Linked DNA regions of Sus scrofa. The protein of the gene in region 1 interacts with the protein of each later gene in a biochemical or structural test. Links are inferred from orthologs where the notes say so. Each region holds a gene or a part of one and is shown on either strand. Other genes may lie near its edges.

Region 1 (4,600 bases):
GTCATTCAATTAATCTTCAACAGAGGAGGCAAGAATATAAAATGGGAAAAAGATAGTCTTTTCAGTAAGTGGTGCTGGGAAAACCAGACAGCGCCATATAAATCAATGAAACTGGAACACACCTCACACCATGCACAAAAATAAACTCAAAATGGCTGAAAGACCTAAATGTAAGACAATACACCATCAGACTCCTGGAAGAGAACATAGGCAGAACATTCTCTGATATCAACCTTATAAATATTTTCTCAGGTCGGTTTCCCAAGGCAACAGGAGTAAAAGCAAAAATAAACCAATGGGACCTAATCAAACTGACAAGCTTCTGCACAGCAAAGGAAACCATAAAAAAAAAAATACAGCTTTAGAGAATGGGAGAAAATAGTTTCAAGTGATGCAACTGACAAGGGCTTAATCTCTAAACTATAGAAACAATCTATACAACTCAACAGCAAAAAAAACCCAATGGAAAAATGGGCAAAAGACCTGAATAGATGTTTCTCCAAAGAAGATATGCAGATGGCCAACAAGCACATGAAAAAATGCTCTACATCCCTGATTATTAGAGACATGCAAATCAAAACTACCATGAGATACCACCTCACACCAGTTAGAATGGCCCTCATTAATAAGTCCACAAATACAAATGCTGGCAGGGGTGTGGCAAAAAGGGAACCCTCCTGCATTGTTGGTGGGAATGTAAATTGGTACAACCACTATGGAAAACAGTATGGAGATGCCTTAGAAAACTATACATAGAACTACCATATGACCCAGCAATCCCACTCTTGGGCATATATCTGGACAAAGCCACAGTTTCTTTGAAAAAGACAAATGCACCGCATGTTCAGTGCAGCTCTATTCACAATAGCCAAGACATGGAAACAACCCAAATGTCCAACGACAGGTGAATGGATTAAGAAAAAGTGGTATATATACACAATGGAATACTATTCAGCCATAAAAAAGAACAAAAATAATGCCATTTGCAGCAACATGGATGGAACTAGAGATTCTCATACTAAGTGTAGTAAGTCAGAAAGATAAAGACAAATACCATATGATATCACTTATATCTGGAATCTAATATACGTTACAAAAGAATCTTTCCACAGAAAAGAAACTCATGGACTTGGAGAACAGACTTGTGCTTACCAAGGGCCAGGGGGAGGGAGTGGGATGGACTGGGAATTTGGGGTTGATAGATGCAAACTATTGCCTTTGGAATGGATAAGCAATGAGATCCTCCTGTATAGCACTGGGAACTGTATCTAGTCACTTATAATGGAGCTTGATAATGTAAGAAAAAAAGAATGTATACATGTATGTGTGACTGGGTCACCTTGCTGTACAATAGAACACTGTAAACTAGTAGAACACTGTAAACTAGTTATAATGGAAAAAAATAAAAATCATTATGAAAAACCCTAAGTTCTTGAGATGTGGAAAAACAGCAGACAAGAAATGAGTTTGTGAGGCAAAGAGAAAAGAAAGCAATCATTGCATTGATAAAGATAAGAATGCAAGGCCCATATCTGACATGTATAATTGTTATGAAGTTCAAGTGAAAGGTTGTTTTATCTCTCTATTGCCCTTGAAATTATTTAAAGGAGCAGGATCTCATCTTTTTACTGCCTTGTCATTAAAAGTCTTAATTGCATTGGAACGAACTTTGTTGACAGAGCTTCCTGTATTTGATATTTGCAATGTCATCACATACATAGTTATATAAGATACTAATACTTTTTTTTGGTCTTTTTTTCTTTCTAGGGCTGCACCTGCAGCATATGGAGGTTCCCAGGCTAGGGGTCCAACCGGAGCTGTAGCTGCTGGCCTACACCACAGCCACAGCAACGCAGGACCCGAGCCATGTGTGCAACCTACACCACAACTCACGGCAACGCCAGATCTTTAACCCACTGAGTGAGGCCAGGGATCAAACCCGCATCCTCATGGATGCTAGTCAGGGTCTTTAGTTGCTGAGCCGCAATGGGAACTCAAAGAGATTTTTTGATAGGAGATTAATTTCTTTAAAATCTAATCCCAAACTATTTACACCATCTTCTTAAATTTTTAACTTATTTGTAAAAATCTACTGAGTCACTATATTTTGTTTAATGAAAAGAAATTGTAAGTGTGCTCAATAAGCTATTTCAATTTCATACTTTAGTTCATGCCTAGCTCTTTTGTTTCCATTAACATGATTGAAAACCAATCTGATCACTAAAACCCTTCTATTTTTATACTTGATGTTTTGTAAAAGGATCAAAGTTCCTTCATAATCAGCCTTTATTTATTTCTGATGCTAATGTGTGAGAGCACATATGTGTTGTGTGACTCCGAAGGTGTGGGGAAACAAACATGCTGAGTGAGATTGAAAATTTGGTCTTGAAATAAAGAAATAAATGTCATGCTGAGGTTGATACAGCTGCACCTGTAAGCATTGCTTTCTGTAAACTTTCCTCAGTAAAATGTAAACCAAACTGAAATTGCTCCTGGCTCTAAATTTGTGATCATGAACTTGAAACATCTTTTAATATCTGCATGATTACCATAGACTATCTTAGCAATGATTCTGTGTTTGGCTAAGCCATGCTCACTTAGAAATCTCTGTAGCTTTTGTTTCTTCAGACTCTTTAGGTATCTACCTGTGCAAATAGACATCTTTAGAAGATCATGGCTAGTGGATGTTTAATTATTTTAAGTTGCTGTTGGTTCAAAAGCCCTTAATCTGTTGTTCTTGATTTATCCCAGTGGCTGAGAAGACCAAAGAGCAAGTGACAAATGTTGGAGAGGCAGTGGTGACAGGGGTGACAGCGGTAGCACAGAAGACAGTGGAAGGAGCAGGGAGCATTGCAGCTGCCACTGGCTTTGGCAAAAAGGATCAGCTGGGCAAGGTATGGCTGCGTATCTTATGTTATATTGAAAGCTGGTGAGATCACAGTGCATTTTCCGGCAAGACACTAGGCAGGAATAAGATGCTTACTTGGCGGGGGGATTGCTTGACCCTCCCTCACAAAAAAATACTACCTTAATATGCATGTTCTTTTTGGAGGTATTTACCCAGATAAATGCCATGAAGATTGTACAATAAGTGTGATTGTTTTATTTTCCAGGAAGAAAGTTGATGAAATGAACAGTGTAATAAATGTTCAAAAGAACAGTGACATTTCAGAAAGAATGGGTGCTTTTATGTCAGCTTGGAATCTTGGAATTTCTCTTTGTTGGGATATAGCAAATTCTTTGTGCGCAATCTCTCAATGTTCAAATGAGACTCTTTTACTTGATTTTTTTCGGGGTGACATCATCTCTTATTAAATGTTACATTTGCTTATTACATAAGAGTTCATTTCCAAATATATGTTTCTGGAAACGGAGAGGCTTAAACTATATTACCAGCCAGAGGCTGTGGTTTTGCGGTGATTTTAAGATTCTCAGAAGAATTCTGACTTTGCCTTTCTCTGCAAATGAGATTCTAGGAAGGTTATTCAAGAGTTATTATGACTTTCATTCTTAACAAGTAAGCAACAGAAAATGAGATGTCAACTGGAAGATGAAATTTTGCAGGTTTCATGACCATGGCAGTAGAATGACTCTTGCTTTTTTCCCTGCTACCTTGAACACATAAGGCGTACCCTTTCCTTGACTCTTCCTGGAAAATTCTTTCCTGAATTTAAGCATTTGGCTCACTCCCTCATTCCCTCAGGTCTATGCCAAACAGTACTTCTCAGTAAGGTCTCTCCTGGCCTATATTATATTGGAGCCATTCTCTTCCTTCTGCTGTTCGTAATTTCCCTACTCTGTATTTTTCTTCTTTTTTGGCCAAACCATTGATTATCTTTAAAAATAATAACTTATTTTTATGCATGTTGTTTATCCAATAAACAAGCACCATGGAGATGGAATATACTAGTTTTCACTGATGTTTCACAAGTGTCTAGAAGGGTGACTGACATGTAGGAGATAATGAAGGAATGTTGATTGCATTAAGGTGGGAAGAGAAAGGAAATAAACGATAAGCAGGGATCTTGGAATATAGCCATGATTGAGACCAAGGTCCTGATTGTACAGGTGAGGAAATTCACAAAGGAGAAGGAAGCAGTCTAAGGTCACATAGCCAATTGTAATGAACTGAAAACCAGCAGTGTTTTTCCATCCACTAATGTTGCTTCCTCAAACCCTTCCTCAAATTTTACCTTTCTTTTGGGAATTATGGAACAACCAAATTGAACTGGGAAAATTCTCTGCTTTAGAATATTAAGAAACCAGGGAAACGTGTGCCATCCCCATCTCACTGCCACTTAATGTAAATTGCTAACAAGGCATGCAAATATTTCATTTCTTACAAAATTGGGCTTGCTTTTACCCATCCAAAAATAGTGCTCTTTATTTTAATGTTTTAAAGCACAAATCTAAATGATGTGACAAAATTAACTTTTGGAGAGATTTCTCTTATGGGTACTTATAGGGTCTTACAAAGTTCTAATATGAAAATGAAGTCATAAACCTGGAAATTACAGCACAGTTGTAGCAAAAAAAATTGAACTGAGAGTTTAAATGGCTGATTTTCATCCCTGGTCTGTCGCCAACGGGCTGAATGACC
Region 2 (5,092 bases), on another chromosome or scaffold:
AAGGATCCTTAACCCACTGTGCCACAAGAGAACTCCATGCTCCCATCTCGATTCTGCTGCTGCCGCCCCCAGACTCTGAGGGCAACAGCAATGTGCCAGCTTTCCAAGCCACACCCCATGGCCTTAGCTCCTCCAATTTATCCCAGGTTCTGTCCCTTGCACGTCCCCTGGACTTGACCATCCAGGAATGGGGATCACTCCTAACCCCCTGTCTAACATCTTGTTTGGTCCTCCACTGGTTGCCCCCTGCCAGCTTAGGGTGTTGGGACAGGGTGGCGGTGGGAAGTCCAGCCTCTTTGTATCTCCTTCCAACCTTAATCTGTCTTAGACACAGACACCACAGCTTTTGAACTTAAAAGCCTGGAATCTGGCATTTTTGTTCTCTAGCTAGAAAGCAGAGTAGTCTCAGGGCCAAAAAGCAAGAGCTAGCCCCCTGCAGCGTCATCTAGGACCCTCAGGGAAGCTGTTCTTTTCTTCCTTTTCACATTGACTGAGCCACCCAGACACTGTGTGTGTGTGTGTGTGTGTGTGTGTGTGTGTGTGAGTGCATGGGACCAGGGCAGTGGCAGCGCCCAGGAGGGGGAGAAGCTGAGAGCATCGCATCTTAGATCTGCTGAGTCCCCGCACCCCGCACACACTCCCTGTTCACTCACCTCCCCCACACAGCTGGGAAATGACACCTCTGGTGACAGAGCCTGGCCCAGGCTTCTGCTGGGAGGGGGTGGGGTGCTGCATGGGGGAGGTTGTCACACCCGGAGGCCCTGGGAGGCCTGGGTGGGGGAGGGAGGAAGCCAGCTCCTGTTTGTCTCAGAGACCAAGGCCACCAGCCCCCTCTGCCCACTTCCAGGGTTGCAGTGAGCACCCTCGCTCCAGGGCCACTAGCCACCCCCCCCCCAAGGTACCACCTTCTTTACTCTTTAGGCTGATCTGACCTACCCCACAGGACAGGCAGCTCACCTGTTCTCAGCCTGTCCTCTCTGAGGGGACCAGTCCTGCTGAGAATGAGCAGAGGGGGTGTGTGAACTGCTGGGTCTGTTTGGAGGATCTAAACAGAGACAAGTCAGGGATGGAAGGGGCCGGGGATAATCTCCTACCATGTCCCGGATCAAGCCATTTAACAAATACCCCTGTAGTGTCTAGTATGTAATCTATTTGGGGTCCAGAGACAGGCAAAGGGCTATCCAAGGTCACTCCCAGGAGGCAGGGACTGCCTTTGCCTCCTTACTGTCCTGCCCCCCCAGGGAAAAAACAAAACGTAAAAGCTAAAGTTCTGTCCTTTCGCCTGGGGTCAGAGGCTGAGCCCTCCCGCTGCAGGGTAGCTGATCCAACTCTGGGTCAGAGCCAGGTTTGGGCCAGTCTGCAGGCGCACCTGAAGCAGCGCCACGGGGCAGCCTCTTGCCTTCCTCCTAGGCCCCTAAGCTTGCCTCTTGTCGGTCAGGCCCAGGCTGCCAAGGACCCCTGGTCTGAACCCCAGCTGTGAGGAGAGAGTTCCTTGTCCCAGACCTCCTTTGAGATCTCCACCTGCGGGCAAGCTTTGGGGACCAGCTGCCACCACTCCACCTCAGCCGCGGGGTCTCGCCTGTCTGCATCGCCCCGGAACCTGCACGTGACCCTTCTGATTTCCCATCTCCCGCCCGTATCTGAAATGCCGAAGACCGGTCAACAGGCGTTGGGACCGTGGGGGCGGGCTGAGACCTGGGTCGGGGTGGGGTGCGGACGGGTCTCACGGAGGAGGTGTTTGGGGCCGAGGGGTGCCATCAGGGCCGGGCCATGGGTGTGGGTAGGCCGCGGCCCCCAGGCTCGGGCCGTGGAGGGAGAGGCCGGGGGCCCCGCCTCGCGGGCCCCGCCGCGGGCGGGCTGCGCTCCCCGCGCCCCGCCCCCACGCCCCGCCCCCGCGGCCCGGCTGCCGCCGAGTGGCCCGCGGCGCCCCGCCCCCGCCCGCAGTGCCCGGATGTGGGTGACGTGCGGCCGCCATCTTCCCGTCCCGGGCAGCCAGCGCCAGTCGGAGCCAGCGCGAGCCGCCGCCGCCGCCACCGCCACCCCTGCTGCTGCCAAGTCCTCCGCCCGCTGCCCCCGCCATGTGAGTCGGCCGCCTGCGCCCGCCCCGGCTGCCCGCGCCGGCCGCCGCCCCTGCGTCCGAGCCTGGGAAGGGCTCGGGGTCCAGCCCGCGCCCCCCGCGCGCCCGGAGGCCAGGCCGGCGCCCGTGACGGCGCGCGGGCAGCCGGAGAGCCCCGGGTCCCCGGCCGGCCGCGCGGGCGCTGGCGCCGGAGGGAGCAGACGCAGGGTCCGCCCGCCCCGCCCCTGTCATCGCTGCCGCCTTTCATTGCGGGTCCCCCCGACCGTGGCTGTGAGGTCGCCCTCATTTGACAGGCGGGGAAACTGAGGCCCGGAGGGGGGAGGGGGCCTCCCTCAAGGTCACGCGGCCGCTTGCCCGCGGGGCCGGGCGAAGGCCATGGCTCCCTTCGGGTGGCTCTCCTCCCGAGAAGGAGGAAGGGGGGCACGGATGGATGGACAGACGGATGGGCGGAGCCCTCGCTGCGGGGCCGAGGGCTCCAGGGCCTGGATCTTAATCCGTCGGTGCCCCTCAGGTCGGCAACCGCTGCGACCGCACCCCCCGCCGCCCCAGCTGGGGAGGGAGGCCCCCCCGCGCCCCCTCCAAACCTCACCAGTAACAGGAGACTGCAGCAGACCCAGGCCCAGGTGGATGAGGTGAGTTGTGGGGGGGGCAGAGGCAGTGGGAACGACCCTGAGGATGGCAAAGCGGTCTGGGGGTCCATCGTGGGTTGAGGGTGATGGCAGTTCACGTTTTCGCGTTCGGAGACAAAAACATACCAAGCCGCGTTCCTGACGTCGTGTAATTGGGAGGGCCGTGGGGTGTTAGCCTTGCTGGCCTGCGCCGTTTCACCCTGGGCGGGTGTGCTCTCGTGACCCGCAGGCTGCTTGAGGCTCGGTAAATAGAGGGTGCTGCTGTGATATGAGATGTCTGGCCACCAGCATGCCTCTGACGTGTGCTCCTTGCATGTCCCCAGGTGTGCTGGGCATGCTCCGCATATGTTGTTGCATGTCAGCCAGACAGCCCTAGGGTGCATGTCTCGTACGTGGGCTCCTGGCTGAGGAGAGCCCTTTGAGATGGGTCTCCCCCCCCCATCCCCGCGCCCTTCCCGCAGGTGGTGGACATTATGAGGGTGAACGTGGACAAGGTCCTGGAGCGGGACCAGAAGCTGTCGGAACTGGACGACCGCGCCGACGCACTCCAGGCGGGGGCCTCCCAGTTTGAAACAAGTGCAGCCAAGCTCAAGCGCAAATATTGGTGGAAAAACCTCAAGGTAAGGGTGGAGGCCGGAGGAGTGGTGGGTGGCCGGGAGTGTCCCCGCCTGTCTCCCTGACCGGCCCTTCTCGCCCCCAGATGATGATCATCTTGGGAGTGATTTGCGCCATCATCCTCATCATCATCATTGGTGAGTCGGGCGGGAGTGGCCGGGCCCCTTTGTTGGAGAGGTTTCCCCCCTGACGTCTGGGTTTTGAAGGTCATTAACCTCGTTTTTACTATTCAGCAAAGAGCACACAGAGCTGCCAATAGCAGTTCTGATTCATCTAGCACCCCAAACCTCAATGTTGTTGAGCTTGTACTTTGCCTGGTTCTGGGCAATTTCTGGTAAGATTTTTGGAAACCGGAAAGCCGGTGGAGATCTCCACTGCTCCCTTGAGGACCCTTTGGGTTTGTCCAGTATGGGAACCCTGGAATTGGGGTGTGGGGGAGCAGCGAAGACTCAGGGGCTTGAGAAATGGCTAGGAAGCCAACCACCCTATTGGTTGAGAGCTGTGGTCTCAGAGGCTCCGAGGATTCGGGGTCTGTGGCCCCAAAGCCATACCGTGACGTTGAGGAGACCTTGAAGCTGACCTGTGCAGCTTCCTTGCTTTACAGATGGAGGATCTGAGACCAGGAGGGGAAGGGACGGTCAGCCAGCTGGGAGGTGGGGAAGGTGGGAGCAGGGCCGGGCCTGACACGCTGCTTTCTCTCTTTCTCTTTCTTTCTCCCCTCTTCTTCCTTCTCTTTCCCTCTCTGCAGTTTACTTCAGCTCTTAAACCCCTGAGGAGCCTGCCCTGCCCAGAGAAGGGCCTCTCCCCCCCATCCCCAGCCGCTCCTCCACCTCTCAGCCATATCTTCCAGCCCCCTCCTCCCCCGGGATCCGCGTGTGTGTGTCGTGTGTGTGCCCCCTTGTAAATAGCCAGCTGTTATTTATACATATATAATATTATATATATTTGGTCTGTTTGTAGTTTTATTACTAGAAGATTTTTCCGGTTGTCCTTAACACCCCTTCCTGAGGTTCCCATCGCCTCCTTTTGCCCCTCCTCTCCTCTCCTTTCCCTCTCTTCCTCACCGGCCCCAACTCCCTTCATTTGCATCTGCTATGCAATAGTCCCTCTTCCTCCCCTCCTTCCCTTGGATTTAGCTGATCCTTCCTCCCGCCCTGGTCTTCCCCATACACCCCCTCACCCCACCCCACCCCCCGACAAAAAAAAAAAAAAGAAAAGCAGCTGTCCAGGACTCCCTAGGTGCATCTTCTTTGCATCATTGGGAGGCTCTGAGACTGGTCCCTTTTGGTCCTAAGAATCCCAAGGTCTTCTGGGAGCTTCCAGCATGTTAATTAGCATCATTTGCATACTGACATCCCTTTTGGTTTCCTTTTTTTCTCCATCAGGCTTCTGTTCATTCTTTCAACTTGTGTTTCTTTTTTACTGAGGAGTTAGTCCCTATTGGTCTGGTCCTTGTATCACACTTTTCATTTGCATGACATTACTTGCAGGTGGTAGGGAGCCTGGGCATTGGGGGTGTCAGGCTGTTCTGGCCCCCAGAATTGCCCTCTCCGAGCCCCTCCAGTCCAGTTTGCCTCCCCTTCCCCGATTTTCCAAACCTCTTGTCCCTCCTTCCCCTCCCCCCAGCTGGTGTGTACGTGTCTTGGAGTTCAGTGTGTTATGATGGACCAATAATTCTGCCACTTGGAGTCTCTCCCCACATTCCTGCTCCCCAGTTTTCAAGTGGGGTGCTCAATTGACATTCCCATGGGGTCTCCCTCCCTCCCATCTG
Region 3 (5,328 bases), on another chromosome or scaffold:
TTCTTCATCTTGGCTTTGGCCATGTTGTAGTCTCCTGAGTCAAAGTACTTTTGCTAAGAGACAAGAGGGAGGTTTAGGTGAGTGAGGCACGCTGGTCTTCCTCAAAAGCAAGGAGACTCGTATCCATTATAAACCTTCATCTACACTCAGATCTTTCAAATCTTTTTTTTTTTTTGATTTTTTGGCTGCACCTGTGGCATGTGGAAGTCCCCTGGGTCAGAGATCAAACCTGCAGTAACGAGAGCCACAGCGGTGACAACGCCAGATCCTTAACCCACTGAGTCATGAGGGGACTCCTTTCAAGTCTTTATTTACCTCATACATACATAGCTTAGCATTAATTACAAACACCTGTCTTCTCCCCATCGTGTTCTTTCTCAGGTATATAAGCAATTTCCCAGCTAGAGTACATATTTTTGGAGTTAAGAGACAGCTCCTACATCCTTTGTAGCCCCACGAGTACAGGAAGGTTCAACCAAATTACTGACTATTCATAAAGGCTTACTGAGGACCTATTAGCCTCTAGTGGGCTTGGTGTTGTGGGAGCAGAAATGAGTAACATACATAGAAGGGTCGATCTGGGGCTATCAGCAGATCAGTCTCAAACTAAACCTCAAAATTAAAAATTATTCTCTCAGACTATGAATAGAAACTGGGCTTGTTCATGAGGATAATGTACTTTCCTCTGACTCCTACCACTCCCACACATGTTCCATGGCTGTGACAGCCTGCCCACGCCTGCCTTGCCGACAGCAAGGTAAGCAGCAAATCAGCATCACATTATCATCTGTGACTAAGACACAATAACTGGGATTCTCCACAGGGATCTGTTTCCCTCTCCATTTCATCCTCACGGAGAAACACCCTCCAGGTTAATGACTTACGATCCCTTAGTCAGCTTTAGGTACGTCTGGGGACTGAGAAACCTGATCAGGAGCTAGATGGCTATGAGGGTAAGATTCTCCCTTGGTGAGAAGGACCACACTGGACAGGAAAAATAAATCTCTTCAAATGTCTGAAGAAATCTGCTATTCATATCAAGTTGAGGAAATCTGCAGGACAGATGGTCTGATCTTTTTCTGAAATGGTGCATCCTAAAATTTAGCTCAAATCCTAAATGTGTAGTCCTAAAACTCCCACCATCTAAACAGGCAAATGTCTGGAAACTGTCAGCATTCCAGACTCTAACATCCTTTCCTCACTCCCCCAACCTTGTGCCCAAATGCCCCTACATTAAGCCCTAATTTCCTACAGGGGAGATCAGAAGATAGCTGATAACTTATCAGGTATTTACAGTATCTGCCTTGTTTTTCCAAGTTTCTAATTCTTCTCTACTACTTCCCCCAAACAAAACCTCCAAATCAGTATTCACTACAACGTCCATAGGTCTCATCCCTAAGGCTTTCTGTGGCTCCAAAGAGGGTAAGATATTATGCCCCATACCCCTTTCTGGAGCCTCTTCATGAGGAAGTCGGAGCCTCCAGGCTTTTGTCCTAGGCTTGGATATTTGGCCTTTAGCTTTGCCTCCTCGGCTCTCTCAGGGAGAATACCTTCTTTCTCCTGCGTGTCCTGGAGGAAACAAATGGGCCAATAAAATTAAACACTGAGAAGCAACTGCTTCTAATACTGATAACTTTTATACTCTTACCTTTTCCTGGAGATCTACCCACTTGTAAATATGCTATCTCCACTCTATTTTTAAATGAAGCTAACCTTTGTTCAAATCCCTAAAGCCCAAGATGACTGTATTGTGAGAAGAGAAAGATATGCTCCTTCTCACACTACACCCAAGGAACCACACCAGTGACCTGTGAGTACTGGGTTAAAGGTAATATATAAGCACGATACTTGAATCAAGGAGCGAGTCATAGCTCATTCAACATGAAGCTAGGAAAGACAGAGAGAAAGCTAGCAGGGCTTCTGGTGATACAAGATGAACAGGAAAGTTCCTTGGCTGTCCCTAACACGTAATACAGGTCAAATGGGATATCAAAGTGGATAACTCTCCTGAGATGTTCCCTTCTAAGCTGGTTATCTGAAAAGTCTCTCTTTGGAGGAGCATAACTCTGTGGCCTTCTCCAGAAATCTTCACCTTAGTAACAAGACAGCATTGCTTCAGCAATTCCATAAACATTGTCATAGGAAGGTGACAAGTAAACGGATTAAAATGACAGTTTTTAACTTCAGGAAAATCATGATACAGTAGGTCCACTAGCATTTACCCACCAGCTTTGCTAAAAAATCAACATCTTTCCTAGTGGGGCAAGTGATGGAAGTTTGGGTAACATGCCAAGAGCCCAATTAGCTTGCAGGGGCTCTTACTGCGTTGTTACTCTTCTTACTTTTCGTGGGCCCTGCTGCCCTTTTCTTTAGTGACTTTTCAAAAAAGATTTGAAGCCAATCTGTGGCTCTTTTTAAAATGGATTTACTTTCACTTCTCTTGGAAAACTGGCAGATACAACACCAGGTATATATCATGAATCCCCGAGTCCAATACTAAATGTTATGTCAAATACAAATCTCCAAAGAGGTTGACGTGTTTTCATCGCATAACTGCGGGTGAACTAAGTCCCCCTGAGTTGGAAGTCTGGGGAGAATATTGTGGCGTCTTTCTTTGTCATTACTGTCTCGGTGTCTTTTCTAGGATTAACCTCCGTGATTCTGTTCAGAGCCCTAGTCCTCTTCAATCTTATTCGGTCTTCTTTGAAGGTGGGCAACAGGCCATCCCCAGTGGTCAAAATAGGTCTCTCGAGAAAGTTGCTGTCTTAAACTAGCCATGATAATAATTCCGCTTCTCCCTTCTCCCAATGTGGTCCTTTTTAAACTTCTTTCCCTCGACCTGTATCTTCTGAGGATTTAGAATGCGGGCCCCTGCCTAGATGTTGGGTCATTTTACCCCTACTAACCAGTAACACACAGAATCCTGGGACCACCAGCCCCCTTTCATTCACCGAGTCTTTCCAAACACCCGCCCCGCGCCCAGGCTCGGCCAATTATAGTACAGCTCCAAAGGGCTGAGCCGAAGACCCATTGGCCAATCAGAAAGGTTACAACACTGAATGACAAGCCACCCAACTAACCAGCGCCAAAGCAGCAGGCCTTGTTGAGGCTCACCCTGCACGACGCAAGAAGCGGCCAACCCCTGCAGAGCCGGAGACCATGGCGACCAATCCGCACCGGTGGGAGATCGTCTCCCGCCCCATCACGGTCGCCCAGCTTGCCCGCCCGCACCCCCTCCATTTCACCTGCTTCTCCTCGCCGGTCTCCTCCGAAGGGTTCTCTTCTTGTTTCTGGGACATGGCGGGGCCGGGACTGTGGAGTGTAGGGGACCCGGGAAGTCAACTGGAGAAGGGAAGGGGGAGGGGACACGGGACAACCTGCGCGGCTTGTTCGGCTCCTGTCACTAGGGTTGCTCAGTCAAAATGGCGGCTCTTGCCTGTGACGTTATGACCGCCCCTTCATGTGCGAGCCAATGGGAGCAGGATAGATGGGGCAATGACGTAACGATCTACCAATAGTTGCTAGCTAAATGTGGGGTCTGTGGAAGCGACGGGCAAGCTGGAAGGCCAATCTGCCAAGGGAATGAACCACAGGGACCAATTGGAAACCCGTGGGGGCTGTTAGGGGGCGGTACGGCTAGGTTTTTTTTTTTTTTTTTTTTTTTTTTTTGCTGCTCTGGTGGGGTCAGGCTTCCTCCGCTCCACCGCCCCGCGCGCAGTAGGCTTTGCTGGGCTTCAAAATGCAGGGCGAGAGGATGTAAGCCTTTTATTGTCAGTTAAAGAGGATTAAACTTTGCTCAGTGTTAGCAGAAAATGATCAATCTCCAGAAATTAATTTAGAGGTCAGAGTGGACTTTAAAGTGGTACTCCACACTACTCCAGTGTGTCACTTGCCATGTGGAGAGACTGAGTCGCCTTGCAGAACACAGATGGCTTACATTCCGTGGTTTTACTTTTATGTACAGTTTTTTTTACTTGTTCAGGGTCGTCCCATGAAGAATAAGCTTCTTTTGAAACAACAAATGTCTAGGTACATGGTAAACATTTAGTAAATACAGTTAACACTTGCTAACCTATCCTGGGTCAGAGTTCAACCGTATTTTTTTAGCATCTGTAGATGGCACTGTATTGTTTTTACAGGGGATACATATGTAGTAAGGCAGTGTCTGCTCTAGAAAGCTTAGTTTAGTGGGCATGTGGGGAGGGTTAGGTTTTTCACAGAGTGCCAGGTGTACCCTAAATCCTTGAGGTTAAATAGACATATCTTCCTAGAGTGTTGGTCAAAAAGCATATTTAAGTATTAAAACAGTCTAATAATAACACTGAAAAATTCACATTAAAATTTAATTTTGGGGTTCCTGTTGTGGCTCAGTGGTAACAAACCTGACCAGGATCCATGAGGATGCGGGTTCGATCCCTAGCCTCACTCAGTGGGTTAAAGATCCGGGGTTGCTGTGATCTGTGGTGTAGGTCGCAGATATAGCTCAGACCCCACATTGCTGTGGCTGTGGCATAGGCTGGCAGCTAAAGCTCGGATCCAACCCCTAGCATAGGAAGTTCCGTGGGCAGTGGGTGTGGCCCTAAAAAAAAATTAATATTCCAGGCAGCCTATTGTGACAGCCCTGGGGCTTTCCGTTCATTTTTTCTGTATAATTAGATATACTTCTAATGGAAAAGTTTGAGAAGCATAGAAAACACAGCTTTTATCATATGAGGCAAAGTCTGGTCAGCATTAAAATAAAACTGTTAATAAAAGTGGTATAGGGGTTCAAAGGAAGGTTCAGAGTCCCTGCCAAAACAGAAACAAAAACAAAAAACTTTGTGATGGAGGTGAGTATTTGAACAGCTTTAAAGAATTTAGAAGTTTGCCAGGTAAAGGTGAAGGAAGAAAGGGTATTCTAGGTGATGGGGTCAGCATGAAGGCCAAAAAAATAGAATTGAGTCCAGAACCTGGAGGGCTTTGAATGCCAGGATAAAGAAGTGGCGGCATTCCCGTTGTGGCTCAGCGGTAACCAACATGACTAGTATCCACGCGGACGAGGGTCTAGTCCCTGGCCTCACTCAGAGGGTTAAGGTTCCTGTGTTGCCATGAGCTTTGGTATAGGTCACAGATGCAGCATGGATCCTGAGTTGCTGTGGCTGTGGTGTAGGCTGGCAGCTATAGCTCTGATTCAACCCCTAGCCTGGGGAATTTCCATATGCTGCAGGTATGGCCCTAAAAATAAAAAATGAAAAACAAAACAAAAAATAAGTGAATAATTTAATAAAACAGGAGAGAGATTTCAGGGTTTTAGACCAGAGATCGCAGATCAGAACAGTTCATTAGGAA
Region 4 (5,390 bases), on another chromosome or scaffold:
AGCCAGTCGGGATTACTATCTATGGTCTGGATTACTGATCAACCAAAGCTGAGGCAGGCATACTTCAGCTTTATAAATCTCATACATGCAAAAGTGACCCCTCCCCACCAGGTCACTTTCTAAGCTTGGTTCCTGGTCTGTAAGGGGATGGGTGACCTTGTTTAATTTCAGCTGCCAAGTGTCCGCTTCATCCAACTGCAGTCTGACAGAATGGGAACTTTAAAAATCACTGACAGATACAGAAACGCTGGGTACCCTTGATTCCCAAGAGAACTCTTCTTCCAGAGAGACTTTATTAGCGTGTTACATGTTAGGAAAGAATGGATGCTTCAGTAGGTACCAGAATTCTGGATCCTGAAAGTGAAATTTCACACTTAACACAGCATGTAGTAACTGTCTCCTTCCCTTTCTCTTGGGAGAAACAGTGTTCTTATGATATTGCTTTAAAAAAAAAAAATTAGGGGAGTTCCTGTTGTGACTCAGCGGGTTAAGAACCTTACGTAAGTCTTTCTGAGGATGCCGGTTTGATTCCTGGCCTCACTCAGTGGGTTAAGGATCCGGGGTTGCCGTAAGCTGCATCACAGATGCAGTTCGGCTGCTGCTGTGGCTGTGGTGTAGGCCGGCAACTGCAGTTCTGATTTGACCTCCAGCCTGGGAACTTCCATATGTGGCAGGTGCGGCCCTAAAAAGCAAAAAATAAAAAAAATAAAAATATTAGGGATAGCTGAATCAAATGCTCTTTTGTGAACTGTAATTCATCTAAAGGCATTTCTTCTCTTGGCCACTGAAGGTTCAGGGGAAAGTGAAGGGTGGAGAAGATGGCTCCCCAGAAACCCTGTGGGGCATCCCCCACCTCCTCACCCAGCCCCTACAATATAGTTCAAACCTCAAATTCAAACCTCTTATGTCACCTATCACCAAATCTTCTCATGATCACTAGGTTCCCACGTTTTCATGACCCTAAGAAAATTCTACAACTATTTTGTCTAAATTTCATGACAAACTACTACTAGACTGGGGAATTAGTAAGCATTACATGAGGAGTGGTTGAAAGCAGAATAATTTATTAAGGCTGATGAAAAACCCCAAACATGGATTCAGACCCTTATTTGAGTATGCTATTTTAAACTTGACTTGTGGCAGGGCACAGACCAAATTAAATCACTCATTTTACTGACTTAAGTCCCAGCCTTCAGTTCTCTAGTGGATTATTTTTAATTTAAAAATAAGCTCTTGTCCTATAAAAGTAAGCAGCACCAAGGAGAAACGCAATACAGCCTAAATGGCCCAAGAGGCAGAGTGCTCACTTTTACAAACAAACAAACAAACCCTCAAAAGTATTAACGACATTAAGTTTAGAAGAAGAACTTTATGGTCAACATTCTACATTATAATGAGGTAATATAGATAGGTATTTCTCTGAAATGGCTCCTGAAGATTTTTAAGTAACAAGACATTACCATATGACCACACAATGCTGTATTATACAGCCTCTAAAATACAGTGAGGTAGAGCTATGTTTCAGACATAGAAAAACACGATGATATGAAGTTAAGACAGCAAGTTGAAGAAGCCATTTTTGGAGAAACACTTATGTCTGTGTGTGCATATATAAACCTTCCCACACTGACATCTAGGGTTCTAGGGTTCTATATTCAGCTGCGGAGAGTATATTTATATATGGTTAGAAAAAGCCTATGAAGATGCACACTAAACCTGACACTGGTGGGAGAGGAGGTGAGAGGTCTTGGTCTTTCACTTGTTTTTTCTTGTCTTAGTAGTTGGCTTTTTCTTTTTTTTTTTCAAGAGCATGGATAACTTTTTAAACTGAATAAAAAATAAACCAATGTTCTTTAAAGAACTGTAACAGCTCCTGAATGCCCTTCCTGTTAAATTCCTGATCAACTCTTGTTTTCACCCCTTAGTAAAAAACAAAACAAAACACAAAACTCTGAAGGCTAGGAGAGGGAAAGGCATGGCTTAGAGGGTTTTCTTATTGTTGGAGGAAAACAGGCTATAGGTACCCTTTTTTTAGCCTCATTCCGGAGGGCTCCCACGTGTCAGGGGTGTGCAAAAGGCTCCCATGTGTCAGGGGTGCGCAAAACCATGCAGGAGGAATCTAGTACCACTCCTTCCAAGGCCAGTGCTGGTAAAGGGTGCGTTTAGTTTACCCTTTTCCCCTTCTTCAATCCCTCACAGATGGTCAGCTTCCCGATCCAAGTTTTACTTGAGCGGCCCAGCTCTACCAAGCACACCCAAGTACACGTCTGCAGAGTACGCAGGCTCCCGGTGGGAGAGCTGTGATGTGTTCGAACAGCGATCGCGTGCCAGTTAGGCTGGGGTCAGTGATCGGGCAGCTGTCACCCCAAAGCTACTCCCAAAGTGGACAGGTGGGCATGGGGGAGGGTGGACAAGGTGTAAACTTTTGTTGTTGTTGTTGTTAAAATAAGAGAGATGCCGCCTGCCTCCCAGCGCCTGCGAGTGGTTTGGAGGATAAGGGAGTTTCAGGTCGCCGGGAAAAGTGCGCAGCTGGCACCTGAGCTTACCTTGCAGGGAAACAGGACTGCCGAGGCCACCTTCTCCATAGCCAGGTTCCTGATGCTGGGCGTCAGGGCGCCCCTGCACGTCGGGCAGCAGCTCAACTTCTGGCGGCATTGGTTACACACCAGGTGCCCGGCCTGGCACTGCAGGATTGGGGGCAAGACATAGTCAAAGCAGACCGGGCACTCAAAGAGCGAGGTCAGCTCGTGGTGCTGCGGGGACACCGGGCCAGCCCCGCCGCCGCCTCCGGGGCCCGAGATCACCGCCGCCGCGGCGGGCACCGCGGACGAGCCGGGGCCCGCAGCCGAGATGGTGGCGGCGGCCGGGGGCGCAGCCGGGGACGGAGCGTGCTGGGGCTGCGGCGGCGGCTGCTTGTTGCAGGGTTTGTTAGCGCTGGGGCCGGTGGAGGACGGGCGGCTCATCGCGCTCTGAACCAACCATGGAACTGCGGGCGCCTGCCTGCCGCGGGGCCGCCGGGGTCAAGGCGGTGCGCGCCCCGCGGGCGGCGGGCTCCGGGGCAACGCCACCGCGCCCAGCCCAGGACCAAGCAGTGAAGACAGTCGGCGCCGGGCAGGCGGGGGACTGGACCACGCCGACGATCTCTGCGGCCCCGGGAGCTCCGAACTCCCCTCCGCACCCCCAGACTCCTCCTCCCCGCGGCGTCGTGGCCCCAAAGCCGAGCTGTACGCAGAACCTCGGCCCACCCGCTACCGGAGCAGCAGCTGACGCAAGCCCCGGGGGCGCGCGCGGACGTGACGCCTGGACACGTGTGAGGCCGCCCAGGCGCGCGGGGACTGGCGGAGCCACCCTGCGCTGGGGCGCCGGCTCCGCCCGACTCCAGCTGGCAGCGCCGGGGGCCGCCTAGCGCGGGCGCTTCCTGCCAGGGCTGCCGGCCCGGCCCGCGCCAGTGAGCATGCCCGACTCGCCGCCGCCGCCGCGCGGGATCTGCCTTTCCGGGTTGCGGAGGGGGCCGCCCTTCAGAAAGGCGTCGCTGAAGTCCTTTAGCCACACCCCGGGGAGACACGCTGACGCGTCCCGCGGGCGCAAACCAGAAGGGCAACTTTAGGCGGGGCTGGGGCTTGAGTGGTGGGCGGGGCGGGACGCGGGCGTCCTTGGACTGGTCGGAAAAAAACGAGAGGTTAGTTACGCTTTCCCGGGTTGAGTCAGCAGAGAGCTGAGAAGGCGTGCGGCGCCGCCAACCTGGCACTTAGGATGGAGCTCTGGGTCGAGACACGGAGCTTTAGGCATGGAGCAGGACGAGGGGCTTGGATCAGGTCTGCAGCGGCGCAGGATCTAGCGCTGGGCGCTTAAGGATGTGTTTGAACCACTTCTTGGTCCTGCTGCCTAAGGCGGGGAGGAGGTAAACTATTCCTGTTGTCATCTGACCTGCCGAAGCCTTCGTTGAATTCAAAGCATCTGACTTGCTGGCAGGCCCGGGAGGCAGTTCGTGGTCAGTGTTTGCTAAAAAGAGAGTTCGAGATTGCCAGATTCTAGGAGTGCCAGAAATGTGGCTTGGGTCTTGAAACACGCGACGACAGTGGGTGACCCCCTCCAATACAACACAGCCTCATCTTTGAGACCCGTCAGAAGTGCACAACTTTGATGCAAGATGTGGGTACTCGTTTTGCACGCCAAGCCGAAGCCTTAGAGAAGGGTGGTAGCCTGGAGGGAACCACGAGTTAATGTGTACTGAGTTAAATTGCTTTTCTGCTTACTTCGAGCCCCTGACCTTGGAACTGGGGGAAGGGGCTACGTAGCTGGGAATCAGGCGATTCCTTGCAGGAGAGACAGTGGTAAGGAACAACAGTCAGGCCTGGGTGAAGAGCGGTGTCCTCCGCTTACCATCTGTGTGACTTTGGACAAGTTCTTTATTTCTCTGCGTCTCAATTTCCTTATTTGAAAAAGTGGAATAAAAACAGTACCTCTCTAGGAGTCCCTGCAGTGGCACACTGGGTTAAGAATTCCACTGCAGTGGCTCCCGTGGCTGGGGAGGTGTATGTTTGGTCCCGGTGGGGCAGTGGGTTAAAGGATCCTGTATTGTCCTGCTGCATCCTAGGTCGCAGCTGCAGCTCGGACTCAGTCCCTGGCATAGCATAAAGGATGCAAGGGTGCAACGAAAAAAAAAAAAAATCACCTACAGCCACCGTAAACAAAAAAAACAAAACCCCAGTGCCTGTCTTATAGGTGGGGTGGTGAGGGTTAAATGAGTTTGACTTATGCCAAGAAACTGGCCCATCATAAGCACTGCTTAAACGTTAGCTGTTATTATTTAAAAATGTTATTAGTGAATTTTACCGTTAGTAAATATTAGTGAATAAAACTTGTCCAAGAAATACTCTATTAGAGCCCAGAAGAAAGTTTAATCTTATACAGGGTATCTAGAAAGCCTACGTGCTTGAATTGGTGGAATTAATCTAAATCATGAAAAAAATTAATAGATGTGATGTCATTCAATCATTCAGTAGATATTTCCCAAGCATTTATTATGTACCAACCACTGTTTGGGCTCTGAGAATGGTTCTCCTTCAGTCTCATTTCTAGTAAGGGAGCAATGCCAATAACCAAACACTTTTGGAAGATTTCAGAAGAACAGGTGCCATGGGGTGGGGATGAAGGCATTGTAGCAGCAGCTAAAGCAAGATGCACTGGGGCTTGGTTAGGGGGGCAGTGGGGATGGTGCATGGGAGTCTCAGTTGGCCTGATAAGACCTTTATCTCAGTGACAAGGAGTAACCCCTGTAGGTATTTGAAAAGTGCTGTGAGGTGGTGGCTGAATCTGGGTTTTTGGAAGGATGCTCCAGGGGAATACAAAATAATAATAACTGATATTTATTGAGTGCTCACTGTGTA
Region 5 (5,107 bases), on another chromosome or scaffold:
TTGGCCCACTCCTCTTTTCTGCCTCCACTCTGTAGGTGGCCCTGTCAAGATCCACGGCTTTAGAGTTGCCTCATGGCACAGTTGGTTAAGGATCTGGTGTTGCAGCTTGGGTCACTTCTGTGGCATGGGTTTGATCCCTGGCCAAGGAACTTCCACATGCCATGGGAACAGCAGAAGAAAAAAAAAATCCAAGCTTTAAATGCCAATTATGTGTTCATGGATAACTCTTCTAGCTTCAACCTCCAAACTGACATCTCTGTTGGATGTTTAATGGGTATCTCAAGACTCAACATGGTCATAACAGAATTCTTGAGGCCCACCCCCAGCACCTGTTCCTCTTTCAACAGTCCCATCTCAATAAGTGGAACCAGAACTCATCCACCTGCACTTTTCCAGGCCCTGATTTCTTTTTTTTTTCTTTTTTTTTTTTTTTTTTACTTTTTAGGGCCACACCCATGGCATACGGAGGTTCCCAGGCTAGGGGTCTAATGGGAACTACAGCTGCCAGCCTATGCCACAGCCACAGCAACTCGGGATCTGAGTTGCATCTGTGGCCTACACCACAGCTCACAGCAATGCCAGATCCTTAACCCACTGAGTGAGGCCAGGATCAAACCCGCAACCTCATGGTTCCTAGTCAGATTCGTTTCTGCTGCACCATGATGGGAACCCCACCTGACTTCTTTTCCCTCATCCAGCCCTACCCTGAATTCATCTATGTCTCACCAGCTACCTAGCCCAAGTCTTCGCCTCTCCCAGCCTCTGAATGGATCTATTTCCATGCTTCCTATAATTTATTCTCCACTCAGCAAAATAAGAAATCATGTCACATTGAAGTTCTGCCTAAATCTAATGGCTTCCCATTCTCCCAACTCCTTTGAAAGTACCGCCAGGCACAACCTAGTCCACTCTCTGCTCCAGCCAAACTGCCTCGTACAAAAGCCTTTACACCAACTAGCGCTTCACCAACGCTAAACGCTGTGCCCTGTAGCTGTTGCTTTCACCTGTTTCGGATCTTAGTTCCATCTCACCTTCTCATTGAGCACTCCCCATTCTATCACACCGCCAGGTTGTTTTGAACTCTTATCACTATCTAAAATTATCTTGTTTGTCTGTGTTGGCCCCTAGAATTCAAGCTCCTGAGTGTAGGGACTTGGTCATTGCACTGGATCTAACACTTAGTCGGTCCTCAACAAACTGAGCAGTTACTAAAACGCAGAGTGGGCCCTTGTAACCAGCTTTGAGACCCTATGATTGGGGGGGGACCTCTGGGGCTCTACAGGAAAGGAACAGGGCAAGGGAGGGGCGCTGCCCATAGATGGCGTCAGGCTGCAAGGCTTCTTGAATAATTCACCATCCTAACAACTCAGCCTCAGGGAGGGTTAGGGCGCGGCCAGGACGACAAAACAGTAGGAGGGAGTGGAGATTGGGGTTCCCTACGGGGCAATTTCTGGGCACTGGATGTTCCCTATCCTGAGGCTCCCAGAGGAGGAAGCTCAAGAAACCAGCTCAGCTTCCGTAAGGCGGACTCAAGGAAAGAGTTCAATCTCCCCTCTTAATTGGGTGTGCGGCTAAGCGTACACCAAGGCGCATGCGCGCCTCTCGCTTCCCGCGCCCTTCTTCCGAGTAGACCCCGGAATAGGTTTGCGTCCTCCTTGGGCCACGGCTGGTCAGCGGAAACAGTCCGTCCCCAGCATGACCAATAAGAAGTGCGGAAAGGGGCCCCGTCCCGCCTCCTGATGATTAGAGGGTCTCCCTTCTCGAGCGAGGTCCCGCCTCAGCCCCGCCCTGTGGGCCCTGAGGGTCTCGCGGCTGCGCGTGGTGGGGCTGCAGCCTCGCTCCGGCGCGGGCTCCGCTGACCCCTTTCTGCCGCCCCGCCCACCCCGCTTTGCAGGCTGCGCTGGGATTTCCCTTCGCCTCCGGTTGGGGCTGCTGTTTCGCTTTGCCGACGGTAGGCGTAATGGATTTTGCACTGTTTGGATCTTAACTGTCCCTTCCCCTGCGTCTGCAGTTCATCTTTTTTTTTTTTTTTAAATCATCATTGTTATTATTAATAGTAGGGATGGTCGTATTTTGCTAATGAAGAAGAGGGAGAGAATCTTCAAATTTTCTTCTACCCACTTGCGTTTTTGAGGGGTAGAGTGGGAGGAAGGTCTGTGTAATTTATCCATGTCTTCAAGTCATCCGAGAAATGTTCAGTGAGCACGGGACCAGCGCCGGGTGCTGTGCTACCTACTGGGGATACAGACTGATCCCTGTCCTGGGTTTACGCCCGGACAGATGAGCAGGCAAACGAGGTGGCTATATAACTGATATTAAGCCATTTGTGCAATGAATTGCAATTGTAATAAAAGCTACAAAGGAGAGAGATGTAAGGGCTGTCAGCTTGTGTTACAGGATGTGTGTGTGTGTGAAGGGAAGAGAATTTCTTAGAGAAAATGACATATGAGCTGAGTTCTGAAGGAGAGATGAATAGGCTTTAACTAGGCGGAATGGAGGTAGAGAGCGATGCATACTAAAGGAAGAGATTTTGTGAGGATTCTGAGGCAGAAAGGATGTAGAACAAGGGGTCCAGTCCATGGCGGGCTGTCATTGGAGGCTGGTCTCTCTGCCTGGACACTTGCCCCTTGTAGTCTGATTTCTACACAGCAGCCAGAGTGATCTTTTAAAAATATAAATCTGGTGTGGTCACTTCCCTGCCCCAAACTCTCCAGTGAATTTCCATCTTGGAACAAAATTCAGACTCTTCACTGTAGCCAAGGCCCTACAGACCTGCAGCATCTGATCCTCAACATTTTTCTCCAAACTCACTTCTTACCACTGCCTCCTTACTCGTTCTGTCCAGCACTCCCTTGCTTTGTAGTTCTCATAGCTCCCTGAAATGATTTTTTTTTTTTTTTTTTTTTTTTTTTTTGCCTATCACCCCCTTTAGAACATAAGCTCCATAGAGCCAGGGACTTTATCATCTCATTTATTTCTGTAGCCTCCGGATCTAGAAGAGTGCCTGGCACATAGGAGATGCCCAATTATTATTTGTTGAATGTGTGAATTGGGAAGCACATAGCAGGGGTGCCCAACCCTCTCAAGGGTGTTAGGAAAATGGATGCTGATGGCAGAGACAGTAAGGCTAAGGACTTAGTGATGCAAAAAGAATATTCATTTTTTCAGGAGAAGAAAATATAGCGTAGAACAGAGGCAAGATGGATGGTGGCCTATTAGAGGAAATGTGATTGGAGCATGTGGTCCAAGTGGAGAGGTGAAAAATGAGGCTGGGAGTTCTCATTGTGGCGCAGCAGAAACGAATCCGACTAGGAACCATGAGTTTGCAGGTTCCATCCCTGACCTCGCTCGGCAGTTTAAGAAACTGGTGTTGCTGCGTCTCTGGCATAGGCCGGCAGCAACAACTCCAATTAGATCCTTAGCCTGAGAACCTCCATATTCATCCCACAGGTACAGCCCTAAAAACAACAACAACAACAAATGAGGCTGGAACAAAGATGCCAGATCCCATACACCTTCGTAAAAGGCATCGTGGAGCCCTTGAAGGATTTTAGGAGAGTGGTAGCTTCAAAATTTGTTTTTTGTTTGTTTGATTGTTGATTTTTAGGGCTGCACCTGTGGCATATGGAAGGTCCCAGGAGATGGGCTGAATCAGAGCTGTAGCCACCAGCCTATGCCACAGCCCAGGCAACTGGTGATCCAGGCCACATCTGTGACCTACACCACAGCTCACGGCAACGCTGGATCCCCGACCTGCTAAGCAAGGCCAGGAATCAAACCCGAGTCCTCATGGATACTTGTCAGATTCATTTATGCTGAGCCACAAGGGGAACTCCAATTTTATTATTTTATTTTATTTGGAGGCACTCATGGCATGCGGAAGTTCCTGGGCCAGGGACCAAACCTGAACCACAGCAGTAACCAAAGCCACAGCATTGACAGTGTTTGAGATTTAACCTGCTGAGCCACCAGGGAACTCCTTTTTTTTTTTTTTTTTTTTTCTTAAAGCAAGAGCAATTTTATTTCTTTTTTTATTTTTACTTCTTTGCTTTTGAGGGCCACACCTGCAGCATATGGACGTTCCCAGGCTAGGGTTCAAATTGGAGCTGCACATACAGGTCTACACTACAGCCATAGCAACTCCAGATCTGAGCCTTGTCTGTGACCTACACCACAGCTCACAGCAACGCCAGATCCTTAACCCACTGAATGAGGCCAGAGATTGAACCTACGTCCTCATAGATGCTAGTCAGGTTTATTACTGGGAAGCCACCACGGGAACTCCAAGCAAGAGCAATTTTAGAGCCCAGAGGGCCCAGCATTAGCTGGGGGTGTAGGAAGTGCAAGAGAGGACTCATCAGGTGTAGCACCACCTTCCAGATGTTTGCCATGAGTAATGTTATCTGCATTGTTGCATGAAATCCTCATGACAACCCTGAGGCAAGAGTTTTGGAGATGAGGAAACTGAAGCTCCAAGAAGTCAAGTGACTTCCCAATATCTCAGTTCTAGTGAGAAATGAAGCAAGGATTTCAACCGTGTATAGTCACTCCAGGGTCCATGCTAAATCTCCCTTCCGTATTTATTGCTTCTTCTTGGGATGGAAGAGAAATGGAGGTGGCCAGAGGGAGCAAGGGTGGAGGTAGAGGTCTCAGACAGACTCCTTTGACTGTAGCTGGAAGGAAGAATCAAAGGCTGAATTACAATAACAGTAATATAGAGTTCCCCAGTGGCCTAGCAGGGTAAGGATCTGGCATGGTCACGGCTGTGGCTCAGGTCACTGTTTTAGCAAGGGTTTGATCCCTGGGCTGTGAATCTTTTTTTTTTTTTTTTTGCTTTTTTGGGCCACGCCCGAGGCACATGGAGGTTCCCAGACTAGGGGTCCAATCAGAGCTGTAGCCGCTCGCCTACGCCACAGCCACAGCCACAGCAACGCCAGATCCAAACTGTATCTTTGAACTACACCACAACTCATGGCAACGCTGGATTCATAACCTACTGAGTAAAGCTAGGGATCGAACCCACAACCTCATGTTTACTAGGTCAAATTTGTTTCCCCTTCGCCACGACGGGAACTCCTGGGCTGTGAACTTCTGCGTGCCACGAAGT
Region 6 (5,246 bases), on another chromosome or scaffold:
GGCTTTTAAAAAAAAAACATAAATTGACACAAATACGTGAGTTGTACTCTTCTCAAAAGGTTCCAGAGCACATTTAGAATTCCTTTTCTCTAAAAAATGTTAAAGGGAGTTCCCGTCGTGGCGCAGTGGTTGACGAATCCGACTAGGAACCATGAGGTCGCGGGTTCGGTCCCTGCCCTTGCTCAGTGGGTTAATGATCCGGCGTTGCCGTGAGCTGTGGTGTAGGTTGCAGACGCGGCTCGGATCCCGCGTTGCTGTGGCTCTGGTGTAGGCCGGTGGCTACAGCTCCGATTCAACCCCTGGCCTGGGAACCTCCATATGCCGCGGGAGCGGCCCAAGAAATAGCAACAACAACAACAACAGACAAAAAGACAAAAAAATAAAAAAAAATAAAAAAAAAAAATGTTAAAAATCATACTTGGATGGACTACGTGGAATAAATGCTAAAATAGAAACTGGACCATAAACAAGAAGGAGCTTAAGTGCAATAAAATCAGTTTTGACTGGACTTTCTCCCCCACCTCCCCTACTCATTCTGAGTCAGCTGTTACATGTGCTCCAGGGAGTTACATGTGATCCAAAGGATCACCAGGGTACTGACTTTGATTAATTCCTCCTAATGATGAACGGTTACCTGCTCTAGGAGTAATTTGGGGAATGAAAGGGGCGACAAGGGGAAGGGTCTGCTGCCATCCCACCATCCACCTCCTCTTCATCATCCATCTTCATGGAAAGTTAACACCAGCTAGGAATTAATCTTGTTTCCTACTGATCCATGCCCCCTTCAAAAGTGAGAAAGTAGAAGAGAAATGGAGGGCCATCCTCTCATAAAAGTTCTGAGTCCAGTATTTAGACACAGTAAATCATTCTACTTCCATTCTACAATATAAACCAGTATAATTTGCAAAGGTGAAGGAGAGTCAAGAAAATAAAGATCAAAAGCACCAGAGAGACTCACACAACAGTGGAGGTGAGGGATAGAGTCAACAGGTAAAGAATGCCTCGTACCCTAAAGTTCACCAGTGTTGCTGAAGCATTCATCAGCACACCAATAAACACTATTTATGAAATAAATGCCATCTGGAAGAAATGATCAACAATGTTAACTATGTGTCAGGGTGAATGAAAGATAAACTAGCAGCTTTTCCCAGGAATCTACCTTTGCTGGGATACGGTAGGCCATTTTCTTGGGGATGACAAAAGATCAGTCTACGGACGTCCTTAAGAGTATATTCCCAAGAACCCTAAGCCATATTTCTATCAAACTAAAATTTAACTCTTCAGATTTCATATTTTCCCTAACTGTAATTATTCTATCGGAAAGATCACTGTCACTAAAGGACTAAAGTTCAAGGAGAAACAAAAGTACCACAGGATTCTATCATAATGTGGCCCATCACAAGGATTTAAGACAACAGGAATCAATTCTTACCATCTGAAGCCCTGTGTAACCCAGGTGTTCTAGACCAATATAAAGGAACTCTCCTGTAATCCAGTTTTCCCCAGGAGATTTTTTTGTGCATATGATGATCTATGCATTTTATTTTAGGTCACTAGCAGAACAATGGGCTTAGCATTACCAAAATGCCCTGTATGTGTGCTGTATGCTTACTTCATAGTCCATTTTATGCTGCTTATTTTAAGAGAGCAACGTAGTAACTGGGAAGTGGTTCCTTCAGCACAAAATGATCTAAGCCACCAATGCCTTTCAATTCACTACGCCAAAACAACAAATCGCGTCAGGAGGCAGTAAACTCAGTTTGTATTCAACATAATATAACTACTAAGCAAGCAAAGCATTACTGTTTAATTTCTTGACCTAGGAAAATAGTTACACATTTATCATCAATAGTTCAGACTTATGATATAACACATATTTATTATTTTTCCAAACACTGTAGAAAAAGCACGATTTAAATTCCTATTCAAAGTGTGAAAAGCAAGCAAAATGTAGCTTGTAATTCTTATGAATGAAAGTATTACAGGACAGCAGCTGCTAAAACCTCCCAAAGCTCAGAAGATGGAACCCAGCTCCATCTTCAAACAGAAAAGGAATCCTAAGAACACAGCAGACCTGCAGTAGGAATCAAGGATTCAAGTGTCTGGACAACCCTGGAGGAGTCATTGCATAACCTGAAGTTTGTTTTAAACTGAGAAAAGTAGAGCTGCTCAAAAGAAACATCTCCAGCTCAATTACGCTGCAGCCATTCCCTGATCCATTCAAATTCCACCAGCTTATAACAACTTGCCCAATTCACAATTTAAGCAACCCAGTCTCTTAACAGTAATACCTTTTCTCTTCCTTGTCCCGGATGCTGGTAAACAAGTGAGCAAGACGCCCCTCCAGGAGTACAGAAAAGGTAAGGGAGACTTCCCGGTCATGAGAAGCCAGGCAGCTCATAGCCTTTCCCCCACGAATAGAGACTATTTGTAACAGAGGGCCCTACTGGACACCTTCCGTTCCTAAATTTGTCCAGGGTCAACTTTTCAAGACAGGAAGGCACGTGCCATGCCCCATACACTCCATTCACTCCTCAGAAGCACCGGCTACAGCGGCAGAGAAATGAAGCACCCTCCCGCCCCGAGAGGAGTCGACCACACCTCCCCATGAGCTCAAATTCGCCTGCGTCTCCAAAAATGGGAGCCATTGCTGAGCTGTCCTCTGCTGGGCCCTAAACCTTCGTCTGTCTCCCAAGTTTGTCTTCCCAAATTCATCGGCTAGGCTCTGGCCAGCTCGGTGAAGGACAGGGCTGGAGAGTGCGCAGCAGCGACTGGACGAAGCGGTGCAGCTCTCAGTCCCAGCTCTGGAGCTACCGCTGCAGGGTCCGGCCCGCGGGGAGAGCCATTTGGAGGCCTGGGCCGGGCTGCCGCTGGGAGAGCCTGCTCCAACGCAGATTGCCAGCCGGCCGAAGGCTCAAAGCACTCAGGGCGGTGGCTGCCGCGGCAGGAGAGGGGCGGGCCGGCGCATGGAGGCGGGGCTGCAAGCTCCGCCCCACTCGGCCTAGGGCGGCTCCAGGGCTCGCAGTCGCTCCTGCACGGCTCTGGCAAGAATCCCGAGCATGCAGCGCGCAACTCCCACACAGCTACCCAGCTCCGCAGAACCTCGCGATCCCCGGAGACATACCGCACGCCTCAGCTTTTCCACCGGCTTACGTGAGGTGGAAACACTCCGTTTCAGTAGGCCCAAACAGTCGGATATCGCAATTTGGGGTGGTTTCATAGCGCTACATAGAATATATGGAAAATACGTGGCCAGACAAGCACTCTTCTCTGCTCTATACTCTGCCAGTTAACCGTGCAAACTCCGGATTTTTATATAGCAAAAGCATTTGTCTACTTCATTAACTATTTATCAGATGTCAACTACCTTATTTCCTCAATTCTAACTCACTTCTCCATTTTTACCGCCGTCAGCACCTTATTTCAAACTTCCTTTCTCGATTCGAGAAGCCGTCGCAGTGAGAGTCGTAAACACATAACCATATTAAACTTCTACTTCAACGTCCAAATTGAGATTTTATTCTCTTCCCACTCTGGGAAAGCCATCTTAAACGCCCTCATTAAACAAAATAGCTTGTTTTGTTTTTAAACAAGCATTACCCTTGTCCCAATAAAGTCCTGGGCCTCAGATTCTCATTGCGTCAGCTCCAGCATTCAGAGGTTTAACCTGTCATTACATCACGCTTAGGGCAGCCTTTAAAGGGAGCAAGAGCTTGTAGTGGAGAGTGAACCCTGTGTAAATTGTAGATTGTCCATTTTCAGCATAAAATTTTAATTCAAATCACTTCCCCATCCTATTAATAGTATTCAGTCACCTCAGTCTCATTTTGATATTAGACAAAACATCATTAGGAACTGAAACATAACTGAAAATATAATCTGTCCACGGACAAATCTAAATTATTATTACCAATGTCTTTATTTTTTAATACATATTCACTCTAGCTAGGTGTTGGGTTTCTAAAGTAGAAGACTTTTAAATGTTTTAGGCAGAAAAACTCTTTCCAAACAGTATGAAGACAGAGTCCAAATTTGTAAAACAAGTAAAAAGGATGACAAATTCCTCAAACTAAAAAGTTTTTTTCCTCCAACTTCCAAAGGACCTGTATTGAAGCTTACAACACTGTCTGAAAACCATTAATCTATGGACACATTTCTCAGTAAGTCAGTCACGACAGTAAAAATGGAAGAGTTCCGGAGTCATCTACACTGGGATTCAAACCCAGCTTTCACCACCTACTCAACTGTAAAATCAGAACAGTACTGCCAGCCTTGCATGCTTTTACATGGATTAAGGGAGATGGGTAAATTACGTACATTACAGGTGGTACAGATTCCAAAATATGGAAGTATTCACTTACATAATTCCAAAAGTTAACCTGCCTTGCCTGAGGTCACCAACTAGAGACCAAGTATACCAAAGATTAACTGTCATTTAATTTTTAGCACAATATAGTAAAATGTCTAGATAGATTATTTATTTAAATGGGTTTTACAAGGAAGGAAATTTTTCACAAAAACTACATTACACTAAGACAAGCCCATGGAATCCAAAGTTAGCAAAAACGCAAAATTTACCAATTACCTACCCTTTCTAAAGCCTACATCTCAAGTCTCATTTGGTATAAAGTTTAACTAGATTTTAATCTAAATCAAAAAACATTTTAGAATCAGCCTTTATGTTGCCTTAATTTCAGAGCATTTAACCATTACTTGGCCATTTTAACAAACTTAGAGTAAATGGACTTAAAACTTTTCTCGATTTGATATGGGAAGCTTTGTTTCCTATTATAAATGACCGAAGACGAATTTCTCTGATTCATCATAACCTTATGCCTGACTACTCTAATCAAGAGACAATGTTGGGCTTTTCATTTTCTTAAGCAGTTAACAAATGTTCTGTGGCCTGCAATAATGCCTCCTCCCCCAAAGATGTCTGCATCCTAGTGTCTGCCTCTGAACCTGTGGAAATGTTATCTTAGAGCAGCAACAGGAAGCTGATAGTTTCCTATCCAAAAAAAAGTTTAAAAAGGAGAAATAGTGTCAGACAAGGAAGAAGGGTGTATTGGTAAAGCAATTTACAAACAGAACATACATGATTTTTCTGGGATGAAAGTATAAGAAATGAGGAAGACTATACACCAGAAAATAACCAATGTTAGTTATGTGAGTGGTAGGATACTGGTGATTTTTAGATGTATTTCCTTCAAAGAGGACAATAAAGAAACTGCTTTATAAAGATTAGT

Evidence for each region.
Region 2: the proteins of SNCA (region 1) and VAMP2 form a complex in vitro, tested with the Homo sapiens proteins (3 studies listed by BioGRID and IntAct). The link is inferred for Sus scrofa from reciprocal best matches to the Homo sapiens genes SNCA and VAMP2.
Region 3: the proteins of SNCA (region 1) and ENSA form a complex in vitro, tested with the Homo sapiens proteins (2 studies listed by BioGRID, with this or other methods). The link is inferred for Sus scrofa from reciprocal best matches to the Homo sapiens genes SNCA and ENSA.
Region 4: of the proteins of SNCA (region 1) and SIAH2, one has a biochemical effect on the other in vitro, tested with the Homo sapiens proteins (4 studies listed by BioGRID). The link is inferred for Sus scrofa from reciprocal best matches to the Homo sapiens genes SNCA and SIAH2.
Region 5: the proteins of SNCA (region 1) and GBA form a complex in vitro, tested with the Homo sapiens proteins (2 studies listed by BioGRID). The link is inferred for Sus scrofa from reciprocal best matches to the Homo sapiens genes SNCA and GBA1.
Region 6: the proteins of SNCA (region 1) and SIAH1 form a complex in vitro, tested with the Homo sapiens proteins (3 studies listed by BioGRID, with this or other methods). The link is inferred for Sus scrofa from reciprocal best matches to the Homo sapiens genes SNCA and SIAH1.

What each region holds. Positions count from the first base shown.
Region 1 is NC_010450.4:129,267,709-129,272,308, forward strand, and holds part of SNCA (alpha-synuclein), read left to right. Parts: intron 1-2,751; coding exon 2,752-2,894; intron 2,895-3,113; coding exon of another isoform or gene 3,114-3,125; exon of another isoform or gene 3,126-4,600. UniProt on the Homo sapiens protein: Neuronal protein that plays several roles in synaptic activity such as regulation of synaptic vesicle trafficking and subsequent neurotransmitter release.
Region 2 is NC_010454.4:53,379,089-53,384,180, reverse strand, and holds the start of VAMP2 (vesicle-associated membrane protein 2), read left to right. Parts: upstream 1-1,937; 5' UTR 1,938-2,078; coding exon 2,079-2,080; intron 2,081-2,588; coding exon 2,589-2,709; intron 2,710-3,167; coding exon 3,168-3,326; intron 3,327-3,406; coding exon 3,407-3,458; intron 3,459-4,069; coding exon 4,070-4,086; 3' UTR 4,087-5,092. UniProt on the Homo sapiens protein: Involved in the targeting and/or fusion of transport vesicles to their target membrane. Major SNARE protein of synaptic vesicles which mediates fusion of synaptic vesicles to release neurotransmitters.
Region 3 is NC_010446.5:98,526,019-98,531,346, reverse strand, and holds the start of ENSA (alpha-endosulfine), read right to left. Parts: upstream 3,446-5,328; 5' UTR 3,300-3,445; coding exon 3,246-3,299; intron 1,570-3,245; coding exon 1,444-1,569; intron 54-1,443; coding exon 1-53. UniProt on the Homo sapiens protein: Protein phosphatase inhibitor that specifically inhibits protein phosphatase 2A (PP2A) during mitosis.
Region 4 is NC_010455.5:90,968,125-90,973,514, forward strand, and holds the start of SIAH2 (E3 ubiquitin-protein ligase SIAH2), read right to left. Parts: upstream 3,415-5,390; 5' UTR 2,964-3,414; coding exon 2,547-2,963; intron 557-2,546; exon of another isoform or gene 1-556. UniProt on the Homo sapiens protein: E3 ubiquitin-protein ligase that mediates ubiquitination and subsequent proteasomal degradation of target proteins.
Region 5 is NC_010446.5:94,582,316-94,587,422, forward strand, and holds the start of GBA (glucosylceramidase), read left to right. Parts: upstream 1-1,589; 5' UTR 1,590-1,951; intron 1,952-5,107. UniProt on the Homo sapiens protein: Glucosylceramidase that catalyzes, within the lysosomal compartment, the hydrolysis of glucosylceramides/GlcCers (such as beta-D-glucosyl-(1<->1')-N-acylsphing-4-enine) into free ceramides (such as N-acylsphing-4-enine) and glucose.
Region 6 is NC_010448.4:36,358,379-36,363,624, reverse strand, and holds the start of SIAH1 (E3 ubiquitin-protein ligase SIAH1), read right to left. Parts: upstream 3,066-5,246; 5' UTR 2,383-3,065; coding exon 2,292-2,382; intron 783-2,291; exon of another isoform or gene 720-782; coding exon of another isoform or gene 635-719; intron 1-634. UniProt on the Homo sapiens protein: E3 ubiquitin-protein ligase that mediates ubiquitination and subsequent proteasomal degradation of target proteins.